Linked DNA regions of Oryctolagus cuniculus. The protein of the gene in region 2 purifies or fractionates together with the protein of the main gene of each other region. This does not show direct contact. Links are inferred from orthologs where the notes say so. Each region holds a gene or a part of one and is shown on either strand. Other genes may lie near its edges.

Region 1 (6,030 bases), on a different chromosome or scaffold from region 2:
TTTCTTGGCTTGGGCACTGACTTGCTGAGGGGATCTGCTTGTCTGATGCGTCCCGCTTTTCTGAGGCGCGGGATGTCATCCTGCTTTGGCCATTGTCGCGGAAGTGTTGTATTTTCAACGTGCTGTTGGTTCTTTGCAGTGCGGTGTGTCTGCAAGGGCGTTTCTACTGGGGCTTCCCACTGGCTCCCCCCCACCCCCCAGCCTTCCGTTCACCTACCTGCTGTTCTCTTCCACTAGGAAAACGCTGCCGAGGTCCACAGTGTCGATTCTGGATGACCACATTAGCCACTACCCACAGCTAGAGGACCCCATGGGCTTCTTGAATGCATACATGGGCTTCATCAACTCCTTCTGAGCTGGAAAGCGTAGCCTCCCTGTCTGACCTCCCCCGAGTCCTATCTGTGTGTGTTCCACTTAGGAGGAGATGCCCAAAAGAGGTCCTGGCCACCCACTGTCCCCTCACAGAAGTCACTCCCCTCACACTGGTGGGCAGTGTACGGGAAGAGGCCAGCAGAGGCGCTGAGTTGACGTAGCACTGTCCTCCTCCCATCCCTCTGATGGCATCTGACCATGTCTGACTGCCGCTGTCTGTGCGTTCTTAGGAAATTCTGACGGGCACTACCAGTGGTGCACAGGGCACACAACCTTCTGCACAGGAGACACTTGTGGGAATTTGCTGAAATACCCAGAAGTGCCCTCCTCTCGCCCAGTCTCTTTGAATCCTCTAGCAAAGGATGGGGAGGGGCCTGCGTACGTCTTCTGGGATGCCTTTAAGGACACGTGCTTTTTCATAGTTTTCTGTCCCCCTTGTTGTAACGTTAGACTTAGTTTCATCAGCTACTTCTACTTATAGACACTTAGTTGACGTAGGTATTGGTTTACATAACACAGGATTCGCAGTGTGCTTCAGGACTGACTGACCTGTCCCTGATCCAGCTAACCAGCAGACCCTCACTCTGCCAGAGTAACGAGCCTTCTGAAACATGCTCAGTTTTTGAATACCCAAACGATTTACAGAATTTCTGAAAATCGTAGGACATTAAGGACCAAGTCCATCTGTGGCAGAGATGTGCTGTTATTAGCTGGGAAGACCACTCTAACAGCACACAACAGTCTGCCTCCTCAGAGCTCAGTGCTTGGAAGCATGGCCCTCCTGAGCCAAAGCGGAGGGGAGGGGCTGGTGTACAGTCCAAGTGACCCTGTGGAGCGTGCACTGAGTCTCGTGATGACTGCTTAACGTCCCGGTGGCTTTCTCACAGCTCAGCAACGCTGGGCGCTCTCAGCAATGCACGAGAGTTCCAGGAACTTTAGAACAAATTCTGACAGACCTATGAGCAAATGGTGCTGAATACTATTTTTTTTTTTAAAGCCACACTTTCATTGTCTAAGTCAAAGCAGGATTATTAAGTGATTATTTTAAATTCATTTTTTATTAGCAACTTCAAGTATAACAACTTTGAAACTGGAATAAGTGTTTATTTTCTATTAATAAAAATGAATTGTGACAAAAGTGGACTCTGGCTTCCCCTCCCCCCCTCTCGCCACCCCTCGGGGATAAAATTTTCCAACATTGCCAGGAGCTTTCAGACACACGTTAAAAGAAAATAATATAATGAAGTTAAGCAGCCAAAGGACAGAATAGTATTTGATTTTCAAGCTCACCCAATGCTGCACTGTCATACCAAAGCTGTCATATCAAGTGAAGAAAAAGAAAAAGGAAATAAACAGAATCCATGCATAAGGACAGATTTTGCTTGATCTGCTGGCTCGGGGCTGAATGTTTAATTTGCTTCTCCAAAGTCATTACCCTTTGAAGGGGTGATTCTGGGAACTTCATGCCAGTAGCCTAAAACCCACCTACAGCGAAGTGTCCATTAACTTCTTGCCCAGGAAGATCTCATCCAACAGAAGCCAAGATAACATCTACAGGTGTTCTTTCTTGGCTTCTGACAGTCACCTGCATGGTTACTCCATCTGCTAAGGCGAGCCTGGACCTCACCAATAAATCATAGCCACCTCTGTATATACCTGAAAGAAAAAAATTGAAAACCATATTATTGCAAAACAAGCTCTGAATGACGCGACTGATTATGCCCTGCTTGGATCTCCTTTCTATTATTTTAGTTGAGCTTTTCTAGTGATTTGTGGGAACTGAATCCTACATATAAATTTAAAATTTATTTTTTATATTCCCATGAGACCAGATTCATAGAAGGTACTCAACAACAGTGGGGTGGGGTGAGATTAGTATCTGTAGGACAGGCCAAATGTACAACCTAAAAAAATAAGAATAGCATGCAAGCCAAGTGTTCATTTTGACTGAGCTTCAAATTGCTACTCGTTAATGGGATGAAAGGATGACGGCAGGACGTGGGAGCCCTACCTACAACCTGTTCTGCTGAATTTTCCAACAAAAACAGATGGGAAGTCCAGTGGAACTCTTACCTGCCAGATAGAGCGAGTGGGAATTCTTGTTCTCTGGGACTTTATCTGACCTCTCACACGGCTGCATGCCCAGAAAGGTGATGATGTTGTTGACGGCTTCTGTGTGGAGAAGATTCATGCAGCAGCATTAGACAAGGTGGGGGCCCACCTCTGCACCAGTGTATGCTGGGAGCTCAGGGGGCGGGGTTGTGATTTGTGGAGAGAGGCTACAGGACGGTAAGATGGCTGGACTCGGACGATGAGGACCTTCTAAGTAAATGATTTATCAAGCCCTTAGAGACATGAGAGTTCTTGTTTTCTTTAACAGATAGCCTTGTAGGTTTTAACACTGCTATTATGTAACCCCTCGTTAGCAAAACCCTTCTCACCTTCAAGGGTTTTGGTAGAACTGAGGGCAAAGGTCTCCTCTTTCTCAAAGGTATCTCCCACTTCTTCCCAGGCAGCAGCGAAGTTAGGCTTCAGTACCTTCTGAATGTGGTCAGACACAGTCACTTCCAGATCTTCCAGCTGGCGGGCAAGCAGCAGGGGTCAAACAAAAGTGCTTTCCGCACAAACAGAAGTGGAAGGGACTAATCCCTCATCGTTCTGTGCTAACATCCCTGCAGAAACCTATGAAAAATTCCATGCCCACAATACTTTGCGTAGTCTGGATAAATGCACTGCCACAGGCCTTAGCAAAGGAAAGCAAGAAAACAGGACATCTGACACGAGCCAAATTCAGATCAACATCTGCAGGCCTGAGGTACGAGGCAGTGAGGCTGCCCCACGTGACCGCCCTGCACCTCTTGAACTCTGCACCCAGCACAGGGTGGCACTTCTCGGGCAGCTGCTGCCTCCATTCTGTGGAGGGTTCTCAGGTCACGATCTGGCTACTTAGCTTGTTTGCTGGAATAGCAACAAAATCAAAAACCATTCTGAATAAAGCCTGTTTCGTATATTATAATTGCATGAACATCATGTAATTATTTTCATCTCTTAATTATCCCATCATAAAGGAAAAGGAGCGTTTTAGTTATCCAGTGGTCAATCTCCATTCTCCTTGGCATCCGTCACGGGATTCAGTGAGGTCCTCCTTAACTGTAATCTGTGCGGGACCAGAAACCTCACGTCAGACGTCCCTAGTCAAATGCTGTCGGAGCAGCAGTGCCTGATGCTGCAAAGGTCAGACCGTGTCTGCAGGGGAGACTCACCACATACTCATCGTCATACCCATCCTCATCTGGAACCCCAGTGTTAGGGTCACAGTCCCGGACGGTGAACCTCATGGTACAGCTAAAGGTGCCTGCAACTGAGAGAGAGCGTAGGCAAGCCTATGTCAGTTCTGCGGAAGCAGATCTGCACCCCGCGCCGTGTTCCACGTTTTCAAGTTAAACATGTGCGTGACCTGTTTTCTAGGGCAAGATCGCTCAAAGACAGTCTGCTAATGGGGCAGAAAAGTGGTCCCAACAGGTATGATTTTAAAGTCTGTTCTGCATTGTGGGTTAGAATAGTACAGAAAAGCTGTCATGGCCAAACTCGATTTTGTATTTGTATGAAGAAAGCAGGGTTAAACATCCAGGGGCTTTTTGCCTGCCTGTCAAAGGGTCTATATGTTGAAAAATAAGTACAGTAAAAAACCACCAGGTAGAGAGCCTACAGATTGTCAAATTACCACTGGCCAAGTACATCAATGTCAACAGTAATGCTATCTTTGGACTGTGGACTGACAGTGGGGCCACAGATCGCCAGAATGGACTTGGCTTTAAGTCAACTTTTAATGTACAATGAATAAGTTAATAATGAAGTCCGAGTGTTGGTAAAGCCAGTGTCTGAAGGCAGAAAAGCCAGTAGGTACCCGTATGTTCTGAGATGACTGGCAGAGGTGACAGGAAACAGTGGGGGTTACATTTTTGGAAAGCGAAGTCTTGAAAATAGGATTTTCTGAGCTGCTTGAAGGAGTGCATTTTGCAAGCATGGATGAAGAAAAGGCATTTAGGATCTAATCCCTCCATCCATGGTCTAAAGAACTTACACAAAAATGCGAACTTGGGAAGCTGGAAAGTTATCTGGGGACAGGCAAGGAGAGGAGACTAGAACCATGGAGACAGCGTATGATAACAAGGGGTCTCCAAGAAGCACGTGGGAAATGTATGTTATGAACAATCTGGATTTCAGACTGTCTTCACAAAACTAAATGTATCTTAATTTCACTTTTCCTTGGACTTTCTGAAGACCCTTTTGTATATGTCAGGTTGGACAGTCGGACTTTAAACCGTGGAATTTTAACTTTAAACTCCACCCACCCACCCATCCAACTGCAGTGTCAGCACACGCTGACACTATGTAAAGGTGGAAAGTAATGTGTCAGACACTTCAGTCATCTTTCTATCTACCTCAGACCCGACTGTCAAGGAGTTGAAGAGTAGGGTTTGTGTGTATGGGGGTGGGGGGGGGGGAGTGTGCACTCACACAGGCTGCCCATATATCTATTTGACATTACAATTTAATGCCACAGATTCTAGGATGTAAGTTTTAGTATAGTGCTGTGTACAGCTGCAGGATGAAGAGCCTGGGAAAACTATTAAAAAGTTGTGAAAGGATACAACAGTTTAATTGGATCTTAAAAAATGCAGCAGATCTTTGGCAAGCAGAGGAAGGTACAGGAGTAGAAAAGAGAAGTGGCTAGGAAGTGCACGAGTGGTTGGAAATACCACGAGGATGTTAAGGCAAAAGTGCTGCTGAGAACAAACTGCAAAGTACTCTGATTCCAATGATTTTCCAAGGGGGTCTGGTGAGCTGAAGCAGTGAAGAGACAGAGGTGAGCTAAGGAAGATACTGCCCAATTCACACTCTGGTGGGAAGACTGCAGAACGGGTGAGAATTCAGAAGACCATGTTGAAAACAGATGAGAGTAGTAGGTTAACCCAAAGAGGAAGAGTGTATCAAGACTGTAGAATTATTTCTGTGTGGTAAGGGGGCAGAAGAAACAATGTTTAAATTAAGGTAGGATTTTCTTTAGCGGAAAAGGGAAAAAGATAAGTGGAATTTAATACAAAATTAGACCAGGTCACTGAAGTGTTAAAAAGGTGAAAGAGACATGGCAGGGAGGAAGGTCATGGTCACGTAAGGGTGACGAATCGGGACAGACACTGAGAAATAAGCTCTGTGACCAGCATGGTTCAGGTTAAGGAGTGGCAAGAGAAATGGGAGAAAATCAGGATGAATGGTAGATCAAAGACTAAGTAAGACCGAAGACACCAACATTATGTACATGATACAGAGAAATGGATGAGGATTAGGTAGAATGGTGTTAGTGGGGATACTGTTTCTGACAGCTTTGTGGCTGGTTTTTAGTTAACTGGTTTGGCTGGTACAATGAGAGGTTGTATGGAATCTAAAGTGAACTCGGGTAGAAGCACTGGTGGCGGGGACAACCCTGCCAGCTGCTGAGGAGAGAAGGTCAGAGGGGCCTTCCCAGGGCAAGAGGACACCCCTGCATCCAGTGTCACGATCTAACGATGTCAGCTTCATGATCAAGGCCAGGTCACAGATCATCACAGGGGATAAGGAAAGAATGAATGTCTTGAGTTCTGACGTGAGAATTGT
Region 2 (6,779 bases):
AAAATATGACAACAGCAAGTTAAGCAACAGAAAAACTGGGATTTGGTCTTCAGATCATAACTTTTTCCTCACTGTGATTCTGATAGTTGTTTTAGAATCACAGTGTCATGGCAATCTATTTTGGAACACATTTACAAAGCACAAGATAAACTTGAATACTTCATTTTCAATGCTTATTCTTCAAATAGTTCATTGCTTTTTTTTTTTTTTATCGAATTCCTGATACCTGCCAACCATTCCAGACATTTTCTTTTCTTTTTTTTTTTTTTTTTTTTTTTTTTTTAAAGATATACTTATTTACCTGAAAGGCAGAGAGAGATGGATCTTCCTTCCACTGGTTCACTCCCCCAAATGCCTGCAACAGCCAGGGCTAGACCAGGACAAAGCCAGGAGCCAGGAACTCCATCCTGGTCTCCCACATGGGTGGCTGGGACTCCCAGTACTTTAGCCATCACCTGCTGCCTTCTTAGGCACAGTAACAGGGAGCTGGATTGGAAGTAGAGCAGCTTGGAACCAGCACTCAAATGTGGGATGCTGGAATTGCAAGCCGCAGCATAACATGCTGTGCCACAATGCCGGCCCCTAGTTTACTATTTCTAAGAAGCCCATTTTGGGGGCCGGCACTGTGGCGCAGGTTAATCCTCTGCCTGTGGCGCTGGCATTCCATAGTGTGCCGGTTCTAGTCCCAGCTGCTCCTCTTTCCCATCCAGCTCCCTGCTATGACCAAGGAAAGCAGTGGAGGATGGCCCAAGTCCATTGGCCCCTGGACCCCCGTGGGAGACCTGGAAGAAGCTCCTGGCTTCAGATTGGTGTAGCTCCGACGATTTATGGCCATTTGAGGGGTGAACCAGTGGAGAGAGGACCTTTCTGTCTCTTACTGTCTGTAACTCTACCTCTCAAATAATTAAATAAAATCTTTAAAAAAAGGGCTGCTTAAAAAAAAAGCCCATTTTGGTCCCAGAAAGATGTCAGAGTGCAGCTGATGACTAGACTTCATGGAATATAAGACTTCTTTCTCCTTGGAAAATAGTATAGTAGGGTAGTTAAAGAGTCTTGGCTTAGAACTTGGGATGCCAGGGTTCAAATCCTGATTTTACTCCAGAATAACCTTGGAACAATTACTGAACTTCTTTAAGTCTGGGTTTCAGAATTTGCAAAATGGTGCTCAGGTTCTCATGGTGGGTTGGTTGAAGTACATATCTAAAATGTTTGGTATACAGAATTTTCTTAAAACTTACTGTTTGTTAATTATCTTGCCTGGTTTGACGGATATTTCTTTATTATTATCTTCTACTCACATCTAATTTGAGTGCTTAGACTCCTAAGCAGGGCACAGACTGAAACACCAATGGCCACAAACACAAACCCCAACTCAACTCACACTGGCAGCCAATCTGATGAGTGGCATTGAGCAGACGGACACAGGGAGCTGTTTTATTTAAGGGGATGTAGATCTTCCTCTCCACTGAGTTTCCCCCACACAAACCTGATGAGAAGACAAAGTGTTAAAAGAAATTGAGAGACACTGGTACTAGCTTCTACCATGTCATATTCTTGATGTATGTATGAAATGGGTAAATCATTCAATGTCGTACTTTGAAACACAAAACTAGCATCCACTCTCACTTCTTGGGCACCCTGTTGGAGCACATAAATGCTCTACCAAGCATCCGGCTAACTGCTTCAGAAGATTACAACATATTCCGTGTAGAGGAAGTACTGGTGAAGCTAAAAGAGAGAAAACTTGATTTGTCAAAGGACGGGTATTTACCCTGTGATGTGCCAGCTTCTGGTTGTATGTGTGGGCACCCTTCCACTTTTCTATCCTGTATGCATATTACATGGGTGCTGGTCTAAGAGTACAGATTACAATAATGAAAAAAAATGAGATTTTTTTTTTCCCAGGAGTCAGAACAGAATTAGGAGACATCTATGTCACACACCTGTCAGTTAATCTAACATCAGTAGGTCATTTGCATGTGCCCACAGTGTAGGCTGCTGTAGCTTCTCCTTTAGGGATCTTAAAACACATGTGAATGCTGGGGAAGGCACAGTCCTGATTATATACAGCCATGTTTTCATTTTAGGGCTCAACCAACAAATAAGCCATATATCGGAAAGTAAGCACATTTACCCACACTATAAAGGCTTAAAGTTCCTCGAGTCAATACTTCGGACTCTCAACAGTTAAGAGTTCCCACACCCTACCCTAGCCTCCCTTCACTAATGAAAGAAACTGAGACAGGGGTTTATGGCGTAATCAACAGAGAAGAAATGATCTACCTTTTAAGCGTGCACAGCACCCACAGAACGAGGCTGTTTTCATCTTTAGAATAAAGTCTAAACGCAGGGAAGGAAGCTAAACTTTCACACCTGCACATTTTGGTTATGAGTGGGGTGGCTGGGCTGTAGGGAATTGAGGCACCGGACAAAGCGGGCTGGAAGTCCAGGAAGAGCCTGGAGCAGGTAATGAAGCGACACGACGTGCCGCAGTGGAGAAGGGACCTACAGGTTCAGGCAAAGGGGGAACTTCTGTCGTGGGAACGAAAGAGAAAGAGGATTTACAGGGTGGGGGGACAGAGGGGCAGAAGGGACCAAAAGGGAGACGCCGGCGCTCGCGTTTGGACAGGTCCGAAGGGTTCCCCTCACACGGCGGAGCTCAAGGGCGAGGGGGCCTCACCTGCCAGTAGGACGCAGAAAGACAACAGGAAAAGAAGACCCGTACTGCCCGGGCCAGGTCCAGAGCCGCCCCTATCCGTGGCCATCTTGCTTCTCCGCTGAGCGGAAGCCTCGGTTCCCCTCCTCTCGGGTAGTGGCCTCTCTAGGCTACCGGTGGCGCCGTCTCGGTGCCCCGGAGCTCCAGAAACCGGAAGTTCGTGTCTTGAGGAGCTTCCGGGAGCTGCTGCCTAGGGTCGCTGACGTGGAGGCGTCCTAAGGGCAGCGGGGAGTGGCAGGGCTCAGGGATCGGGCGCTGGAGCTGGAGGCCTGAAGGATGCTAACCAAATTCGAGACCAAGAGCGCGCGGGTCAAAGGTAGGGAAGAAGAAAAGGGGAGACGTGGAGGCTGGGTGTCAGAGGCGGCGCTGTTATAGGGGAAGAGAGAATGGGTGGACATGCCGGCTGCGTGGGGCCCACTGGACGAACCAGGGAAGACGGAGGGAGGGAGATTCGGCCTAGCGGGCAGTTCTCCAGACCTGCCTTCCTTGTGTCTCATCGGGCATTGATTTACCTGTAAAGCGTTTCCTGCACCGCGGAGGATCCATTTGTCCAGCTCCCTGGTCTTTCCCTTACCCTTTCCGCTTCCCGGTGGCTCCGCGCCCTATTAGTTTTCTTCTGCTCCAAGGCCCTGTGACCTGTTATTCGGAATGGCTCTGGGGATGCAGGCTGTCACTGGCTCCAAGTCAGTAACTTTTTCGGAGGGGAGTACTGGCCCCCTGACTTATGGAGGCTTTGCTTGCACCATCTTAACATCCAATGCCTGTATTGGGCTTTATTTCCTACCTGGAAATAGGGATTTGAGGTCTGTAGCCCCGGGAAAACCTGAGCTTGGTAAGGTTGCCAGATGAAATACAGGATGCCCAGTTACATTTGAATGTCACAGAGCAAATAATTTTTTAGTATTGTGGTTTATCTGAAATTCAAATGTAACTGAGCTTCTTGCATTTTTGTTAATTTGGCAACTCTAGAGCTTGAGTTGTGCTCACGGTGGTGGAAGACACCCCCATGATGATGTTGCACTAGCAGTCTCTCAGAGTGTTAAACTGGGAAAGGCAGGGACGGGAGGTCTACCGAGACCTGGAGAAAATGTGTCTGGAATAGATAGATGCAGCATAGCAAAGTAGTTAGGAACTTGGTGTTTGAAGTCAATTGGGCTTGCTTTGGAATCCTGAGACACTCAGCAAAAAGCTGTATGACCGTGGGTGACTTACTTAATGTCTTCAAATTTATTTCCTCATTTGTGAAATGTGAGTAATTAATGCTCGTTGTCAGTGTGAGACTGTATTCTGAGCAGGTTCTAAGTTTTATGGGAATGGTGAATTTCTGGGACGTGGGTGATTGGAATGGATTGTCACAATCCTTAAGTTTTCTCCTCTCCTAATTTCTTTTTGGGCAGTAGATGAGGGGGAAAAGGTGCCAGAATATTTGAAGGTTACTGTCCACTGAGTGTCACTACAATTGTTAAGGGGAGGAAACAAGCAACTTAAGGGGAAAATAGACAATTTAGAAGAATAAGTGTTCCACAAATAATGAAAATTGTTCTACCTCCACATAATGAAAGAAATGCAAAAAAAAGTATCTTTTTTGGTTTTGCATTAGTAAAACAAAAAACCAGCATAACATCTTGTGTTAACCAATGTGTACAAAATATGGATACCTTCCTAAACTTGATGAGACTGTATATTGGTAGTTTTTTCCAGTTAAACGATATCTACCAGAATGTTAGATGCATGTACTCTACTCCTGAGCCATCCCACTTTAATGTCTTCAGCCTAACTCAATAATACAGTAAATAGACAAGATTATGTGTAGAAGTATCTTCAATAAGTGCTTCTAATAGCCAGGAATTGGGGGAAAGAATTTAAAAGCCTATTACTAGGCTTACTTAAAACTGTGAGGCCCTTATTCCTTGCAGCTATAAAAAGAATGAGGTTATGTTTATATGTAGCTAAATGTGGTGATATCCATACCATAAGTAAGAAAAGAAGTTTGCAGAACATTATAATGTGACACTCATTCTCATAATATAATAAGGCTTGTGCTTATACAGAACTTTATTAAAGTGCAGAACAATATCCTCCAACCCATTAACAGTTGTTACCTCTGGGGACTTCTATTTCTAGTCATGATAAGAACCATGTTTTACCTTAAGTAACGACAAAACTGAACAAAATGTAGAAAGTGAAAAATTTCAGATGTTGGACATTAAGCAGTGCAGGAAAATGATTCTTGAGAGAAGGGAAGTAAACAAGGTGAGTCCTATAACTGTTTTAGTTTAGTGCTTAGACAGAGTTCCCAGGCTGCAGTGAAGGTAGGAGGAAGACTTCTGTGAGAAGTCTTCTTCCTGAGAAGACAGAGTGTAGAGTTCCTGGAAACAAGCATGGTTGGACTTTGCTGGGCAGAATACCAGAGAAGAGGAGGCGGCCCTGGAGCTCTGCAGGAGCTCCCCTCTGGCCTCTGAGTGCTGACCTGTACATGTATGTTAGAAAATTATCCAAAACTTAAGAAAAAAAAAAAAAACAATTGGTAGGGAGTAAGGCAGAATAATCCATGGCGCTCATGCAGGACTGGAAATAGTTTGTGTTCCTACTAACTGGGATAGAAAGATTAGCTGATGTTTCAGTGTAACATACAGAGCCCAAAGGATTAGTATTATCTTTGGAATGATTTCAAATTAGTCCCAGTCTAAAGGCTGTTGTGGACCCCTGTAACAAAACTTAAAAAAATGAGCCTCAAAAAGATCATCTGATTCCAGGTAACTTAACTGCATCGTAGAATAAAACTCAACAGTATTTGAAGGAATATTAACAAAAACCCAACATCTAACATTATAATTTTCACAGTGTTTAACATCTAATAAAAAGCACTGGCATATTAAATGAATGTATGGACCTGTGATTAGCTTAGCATTTCCTTTTTCTTATCAGAATTGACAGAAGGTGACATCATAGGGGTTATTAGCTTATTTTATTGTTTTCTGTTTTATTCCAGGGCTCAGTTTTCACCCCAAAAGACCCTGGATCCTGACAAGTTTACACAATGGGGTCATCCAATTATGGGACTACCGAATGTGCACCCTCATTGACAAGTTTGATGAACATGATGGTAAGATAATTTCTTTCTTTCTCTCTCCCTTCCTTCCTTCCTTCCTTCTTCCCTCCCTCCCTCCCTCTCTCTCTTCCTTCCTTCCTTCCTTTTTTTGGATTTATAGATTTATTTGAAAGGTGGAGTTACAGAGAGGGAGGGAGAGACAGAGAGAGAAAGAAATTTTCTATCCATTGGCTAACTCCCCAAATGGCCACAACAGCACATTAGCAGGGAACTAAATTGGAAGTGGAGCAGCAGGGACATGAATCATCACCCATATAGGATGCCGGCATCATAGGCAGCAGCTTAGCCCACTGTGCCACAACACCAGCCCTGATAATAAGATAGGAGAGAGTTAAGAGATACAAGAGAGTGGGCATTTGGTGCAGGGGCTGGTGCCGCAGCTCAATAGGCTAATCCTCCGCCTACGGCGCTGGCACCCCGGGTTCTAGTCCTGGTCAGGGCACCAGATTCTGTCCCGGTTGCTCCTCTTCCAGTCCAGCTCTCTGCTGTGGCCCAGGAGTACAGTGGAGGATGGCCCAAGTCCTTGGGCCCTGCACCCACATGGGAAACCAGGAGAAGCACCTGGCTCCTGGCTTCGGATCAGCGCGGTGCGCCGGCCGCAGCGACCATAGAGGGGTGAACCAATGGAAAAGGAAGACCTTTCTCTCTGTCTCTCTCTCTCTCTCACTGTCCACTCTGCCTGTCAAAAAAAAAAAAAAAAAAAAAAGAAAGAAAGAAAGAAAAAAGAAAAGAAAAAAAAAAAAGATGCTGCTTGAGACACCTGCAGCCCAAATCAGAATGTCTGGGTTTGAGTCCTGGCTATGCTTCCACTGCAGCTTCTGCGAATGCTTGCCCTGGGAGGCAGCAGGTGATGGCTCAAGTACTTGGATCCCTGCCACCCATATAGTAAACCAACAGATGAAAGATCTCTCTTTCTGTTTGTCTCCATCTCTGCCTGTCTGCCTTTCAAAT
Region 3 (6,030 bases), on a different chromosome or scaffold from region 2:
AAACCTTTAGCAGGAATGCCCACATCCCATTTCAAGTGCCTGAGTTCAAGTCTTTGCTGAACTCTGAACTCTAGCTTCCTTTTGATGGGCACCTCAGGAGGCAACAGGTGATGGGATCCCTGTCACCCCTATAGAAGGCCTGGATTGAGTTCCTTGCTCCCAGATTTTACCTGGCCCAGCCCTGGCTGATGTGAATATTAGAGACTGAACCAGCAAATGAGAACTCTTTTTATGTCTCTCTTTCTTTGTCTCCCTGCCTGTCAAACAAAAAGAAGATAAATATTGAGACCTTACCCCTCCACATGCCCCTGAAATTCATAACCAAAAAAATGTTTTAAAATTCTGATACATGTGTGGTGCAGCAGTTGGGTTGCCATTTGGGATTCCTGCATCTCATGTTACAGTGCTTGGTTTGAGTCCCAGCTAACCCACTTTCCATCCAGCTTTCTGCTGTTACACGCCCTGGGAGGCAGTAAATGACGACTCAAGTGGTTGAGTCCCTGCCATCCATGTTGGAGACCCGGATGGAGTTGTAGCTCTTTGCTTTGGCCTGGCCCAGCCCTTGCTATTGCAGGCATTTGGTGAATGAACCAGCAAATGGAAGATCACTCTCCATCTGTCTCTGCCTTCCAAATTAAAAAAAAAATTTTTTGAGCCGGCGCTGTGGCTCAATAGGCTAATCCTCCACCTTGCGGCGCCGGCACACCGGGTTCTAGTCCCGGTTGGGGCGCCGGATTCTGTCCCGGTTGCCCCTCTTCCAGGCCAGCTCTCTGCTATGGCCAGGGAGTGCAGTGGAGGATGGCCCAGGTGCTTGGGCCCTGCACCCCATGGGAGACCAGGAAAAGCACCTGGATCCTGGCTCCTGCCATCGGATCAGCGCGGTGCGCCGGCTGCAGCGGCGGCCATTGGAGGGTGAACCAACGGCAAAAGGAAGACCTTTCTCTCTCTGTCTCTCTCTCACTGTCCACTCTGCCTGTCAAAAATAAAAAAAATAAAAAAATAAAAAATTTTTTTTGATGGCTATTGACTGTTAATCCTTGAAAAAAGGGAGTTTGTTGTGACTTCTACCTTTCTGAACAAATTTATCACTTTGTCTTTATAGTGTACATATGAAGATTGAAGAAAAGATCACACTAACCTGTGGACGAGATGGAGGATTACAGAATATGGAGTTGCATGGAATGATCATGCTTAGGATCTCAGATGACAAATTTGGCCGAATTCGTCTTCATGTAGAAAACGAAGATAAGAGAGGGGTACAACTGCAGGTGTGTGGAGTCTTCTGGTTGAGAGTATTAAGACTTAGCTAATGAAAGACCTAGCACAGTCTCAACTAGCATTCCTTATATTTACCAAATAAATATAAAATTATTTGTGTGATGTAACTAGTGCCATTCTGCCACCCACTTAGGAGACTCAGATGAAGCCTGGCCCAACCCTGGCCATCTCAGCCTCTGGGGGAGTGAATTAGTGGATAGACGATCTCTCTGCCTTGTCCCCGTCCTCTCCCTCTCCCTCTTCCTCTCTCAGCCCTTCTCTCTCTCACCCTGCCTTTCAAATAAATTAATAAATTTAAGATTAAAAGTTGGAATAGGTGCTGTGGTGCAGCAAATTAAACCATCACTTGGGATGTCTGTATCCCATTTCAGTGTGCCTGATTCTTCTTCTTCTTTTTTTTTTTAAAGATTTATTTATTTATTTGAAAGAGTTACACAGAGAGAAGAGAGGAAGAAAGAGAGAGGTCCTCCATCCACTGGTCCACTCCACTCCCCAAATGGCCGCAATATCCAGAGCTGTGCTGATCCGAAGCCAGGAGCCAGATGCCTCCTCTCGGTCTCCCATGAGGGTATAGGGGTCCAAAAACCTGGGCCATCCTCTGCTGCTTTCCCAGGCCATAGCAGAGAGCTGGATTGGAAGCGGAGCAGCCAGGTCTCCAACCAGTGCCCATATGGGATGCCGGTGCTTCAGGCCAGGGCCTTAACCTGCTGCGCCACAGCGCTGGTCCCCCCAACCAGCATTTTAACTGCTGTCCCCAGAGTTTGTTTCCTGTCTACTGTGTCTGAACCTCAGTTTGCCTTGTCATTCCAGACCCATCCAAATGTGGATAAAAAACTTTTCACTGCAGAGTCTCTGATTGGCTTGAAGAATCCAGAGAAGTCATTTCCAGTCAACAGTGATGTAGGGGTGCTAAAGTGGAGACTACAAACCACAGAAGAATCTTTTATTCCACTGACAAGTAAGTGCCTCTGGCCTGTTTGACTAAGCTACTCTGCATTGAGATCTAAAAAAAGCTCTGGCTTATACCCTCTTATCTTCATTGCCATAGTGAAGTTCTTTTTGACAAAATGATCTTTTATCAAAATCAAAAGAATTGGGATCTCATTAGGTAGGGGCAGGCATTGTGGCATAGCAGGTAAAGCCGCCATCCGTGTCACCAGCATCCCGTATGGTTCATATCCCAGCTGCTCTACTTCCATCAACCCAACTCCCTGCTAATGGCCTGGGATATGACCTAAGGGTTTGGGCCCCTGCCACCCATGTGGGAGAGCTCCTGGCTTCAGCCTGGCTCAGTGCTGGCCATTGCAGCCATCAGGGAAGTGAACCAGAGATTGGAAGATATCTCTCCCTCTCTCTGTAATTCTGACTTTGAAAATAAATGATGAAATTCAGTACCCTATTTTAAGTTTAGATTGTGGGCCATGGAAGCCTTGAAGGATTTTGAAAATGGATTTGGTGTTTAATCATAGTCTCTAATTTTTAATTTTAAAACTTGTTTTAAATATAATTTACATTAAAATTTTTTAGATGTGAGCCTGTCGATAAGATTTCATTTGCTTTCTTTTCTATACTCTTTGTAATAATTATGGAATGATGGCTTTGCTTTTCTCCTCAGTTAATTGCTGGCCTTCAGAAAGTGGAAGTGGCTGTGATGTCAATATAGAATATGAACTACAAGAAGATAATTTAGAACTGAATGACGTGGTTATCACCATCCCACTTCCGTAAGTGGTGTCTTCAGTGTAGTTGTGTTCCCTACAGTGGGCTTACAGAACTGGTTTTGAAACTCCTTTTGCCTCTTAAAAATGCCAATTGTGAAAGAAGGCAGACGCAAAAGGCTACCCACTATGTGATTCTCTCCCTATGACTAACAGAAGTCAGGTGGTAGAGAGGAAGGTCCTTGATTGCCACAGGACGCAGGGATGATGGAAATGTTTTATGACTTGATTTTGATAATGTCTGCAAGACTGCACACCCTAGTCACAATGCACTGGGCTGTACACTTTGGAAAGGCCAAGTTTTTATTGACTTTCAAGCCAAACCAAAAAGCCTATTGTAAGTTCTGCATCTCTGTTTTCAGATTTTGCTCCTCAGCATGTTTGTGTAGTAATGAAGATGTCCAGAAGGAGGAGCCACTTGTCAGTCAAACGTGCTCTATTTTGTTGAGCAACTTTCAGAGAAATGAAGTCTGTTAGATTGAATTTCCCTTTTTAGTTATTCTGTAAACTTTCACTAAAGATGAGTGTATGTGGTTAAGGGAACTGTTGATTCTTATGGGAACAAGATATTTACATTTGTTTCAGTAAATTTCCTAACAGCTTTATTGAAGTATAATTGACATACAGTAAATGACACAAATTGTATCTTGGTAAGTATTGACATACATAGATCTGTAAAACCATCAGTACAATCATGCTAACAAAAATGTCTATCATCCTAAAAAATGTAGTGCCCGTAAGTTCTGTTGTACACGTAACTGGCCTGCTGTCTAGGATCACAGGGAATCTCCCTGTCTTGGGTTTATCTGCTCAGTACTGTTTCCAGTAAGTGTACACTGTTCATCAGTGAGTTCCCAGCTCCACTCATTATCTCCCAGCCCCCACAAGATTGAGCAGTTGTGGGTACCTGCAAGTGTACTCTTAGTGCACCTTTACTATCACATTGCTCTGCAGAAAAAAATTATGTTGCAGGACCAAAAAGGGTAATAATTTAATTTGTAGTTTGGTTCCCTTGAAATTTTTTTGGTGAAAGGCAGAGTGGACAGTGAGAGAGAGAGACAGAGAGAAAGGTCTTCCTTTGCCATTGGTTCACCCTCCAGTGGCCGCTGTGGACGGTGCACTGCAGACAGCGCACAGCGCTGATCCAAAGCCAGGAGCCAGGTGCTTCTCCTGGTCTCCCATGCAAGTGCAGGGCCCAAGGACTTGGGCCATCCTCCACTCCACTCCCGGGCCACAGCAGAGAGCTGGCCTGGAAGAGGGGCAACCGGGACAGAATCTGGCGCCCCAACCAGGACTAGAACCCGGTGTGCCAGTGCCGCAGGCGGAGGATTAGCCTATTGAGCCATGGCACAGGCCGGTTCCCTTAAAATTTAAGAAGTTTTTTTTTAAGATTTAATTATTTGGTGCCGGTGCTGTGGCATAGTAGGCTAAGCCTTTACCTATGGCACCGACATCCCATATGGGCATCAGTTTGAGTCCAGATGCTCCTTTTCCGAATCAGCTCTCTACTATTGCCTGGGGAAGCAGTATACGATAGCCCAGGTGTGTGGGCCCCTGAACCCGTGTGGGAGACCTGGAAGAAGCACCTGGCTTCTGGCTTTGGGTCACCTCAGCTTTGGCTGTTGGTGGCCATTTAGGGAGTAAACCAGTGGATGGAAAACCATTCTCTCTGTCTCTTCCTCTCTCTCTATGTAACTCTGCCTAGCAAATAAATAAATAAAGGGTCAGCACCGTGGCATAGTGGGTAAAGCCACTGCCTGCACTGCCAGCATCCCGTATGGGCATGGGTTCGAGACCCAGCTGCTCCACTTCTGATCCAGCTCTCTGCTATGGCCTGGGAAAGCAGTGGAGGATGGCCCAAGTGCTTGGGCCCCTGTACCTGCATGGGAGACCCGGAAGAAGCTGGCTCCAACCATTGCAGCCATTTGGGGAGTAAACCAGTGGATGGAAGACTTCTCTATCTCTCTGCCTCTGCCTCTTTTTAACTCTACCTTTCAAATGAATAAGTCTTTAAAAATAAATAAATACATAAAATATTTTTTTAAAACGGGATTTGATTATTTGAGGGCATGCACTGTGGCGCAGGGGGTTAAGATGCCATCTGCAGTGCCAGCATCCTGTACAGGCACCAGTTTGAATCCCAGCTGCTCCAGTTCCAATCTAGCTCCCTGCTAGTGGCCTGGGAGAGCAGTGTAGGATGGCCCGTGTCCTTGGCCCCGCCCACGTGACAGATCCAGAAGAAGCTTCTGGTTCCTGGTTTTGGCCTGGCTGAGCCTCAACCATTGTGGTCATTTGGGAAGTGAACTAGCAGATAGAGAATATCTCTCTATGTCCCTCCCTCTCTATAAAAATTAAAAAATGAAAGATTTCATTATTTGAAAAGCAGAGTGACAGAGAGGAAAAAACAGAGAAAGAGATTTCCATCCACTGGTTCACTCCCAGATGGCCACAAAGGAAGCCAGGAACCTGGAACTCTTCCAGATCTCCCTTGTGAGCTGGCAGAAGGCCAGGTACCTGGGTCATCTTCCACTATCTTCCCAGGTGCATTAGCATGGTATTGGATTGGAAGCAGAGTAGCCAGGACTCAAACTGGCACTGTGATAAAGGACGCTGGTATTGTAAGCAGTGACTTACCCCACCATGCCACAACGCTGGACCCTTAAATTACTTTCAAAAATAATTACTCTGAAAGCAGAGTGACTGAGAAAGAGTGAGAGACAGACCTTCCATCTATAGGTTCACTCCCCAAATGCCCGCAATAGCCACAGCTGGGCCAGGCCCAAGCCAGGAACCAACAACTCCATCCGGGTCTCCCACATGAATGGCAGGGGCCCAAGTACTTGCGCCATCTTCTGCTGTCTCCCAGGGGTAATAGAAGGAGACTGGATTGAAGCAGAGTATCTGAGACTGGATCCCAAGAACTTCATGAGATGTGTGTATCCCAAGCAGTGGCTTGACCTGCTGTACAAGATGTCTGCCCCTTTCTTCCCTTTTTAATAATTCAAGGCTTTATGTTGTCAGATCTGGTTTTAGT

The links. The genes of interacting proteins can lie anywhere in the genome.
Region 1: the proteins of COPA (region 2) and COPG2 fractionate together in Homo sapiens (co-fractionation; 4 studies listed by BioGRID and IntAct, with this or other methods). This does not show direct contact. The link is inferred for Oryctolagus cuniculus from reciprocal best matches to the Homo sapiens genes COPA and COPG2.
Region 3: the proteins of COPA (region 2) and ARCN1 fractionate together in Homo sapiens (co-fractionation; 4 studies listed by BioGRID and IntAct, with this or other methods). This does not show direct contact. The link is inferred for Oryctolagus cuniculus from reciprocal best matches to the Homo sapiens genes COPA and ARCN1.

Annotation. Positions count from the first base shown.
Region 1 is NC_091434.1:166,631,491-166,637,520, forward strand, and holds the end of COPG2 (coatomer subunit gamma-2), read right to left. Parts: intron 3,734-6,030; coding exon 3,636-3,733; intron 2,953-3,635; coding exon 2,814-2,952; intron 2,545-2,813; coding exon 2,446-2,544; intron 2,029-2,445; coding exon 1,898-2,028; 3' UTR 1,412-1,897; downstream 1-1,411. Other genes in the region: MEST (mesoderm-specific transcript homolog protein), read left to right, coding at 238-355. UniProt on the Homo sapiens protein: The coatomer is a cytosolic protein complex that binds to dilysine motifs and reversibly associates with Golgi non-clathrin-coated vesicles, which further mediate biosynthetic protein transport from the ER, via the Golgi up to the trans Golgi network.
Region 2 is NC_091438.1:38,573,875-38,580,653, forward strand, and holds the start of COPA (coatomer subunit alpha), read left to right. Parts: upstream 1-2,888; 5' UTR 2,889-2,992; coding exon 2,993-3,032; intron 3,033-5,708; coding exon 5,709-5,822; intron 5,823-6,779. Other genes in the region: NCSTN (nicastrin), read right to left, coding at 1,382-1,486, 2,681-2,765. UniProt on the Homo sapiens protein: The coatomer is a cytosolic protein complex that binds to dilysine motifs and reversibly associates with Golgi non-clathrin-coated vesicles, which further mediate biosynthetic protein transport from the ER, via the Golgi up to the trans Golgi network.
Region 3 is NC_091432.1:111,632,376-111,638,405, reverse strand, and holds part of ARCN1 (coatomer subunit delta), read left to right. Parts: intron 1-1,102; coding exon 1,103-1,268; intron 1,269-2,088; coding exon 2,089-2,236; intron 2,237-2,893; coding exon 2,894-3,002; intron 3,003-6,030. UniProt on the Homo sapiens protein: Component of the coatomer, a cytosolic protein complex that binds to dilysine motifs and reversibly associates with Golgi non-clathrin-coated vesicles, which further mediate biosynthetic protein transport from the ER, via the Golgi up to the trans Golgi network.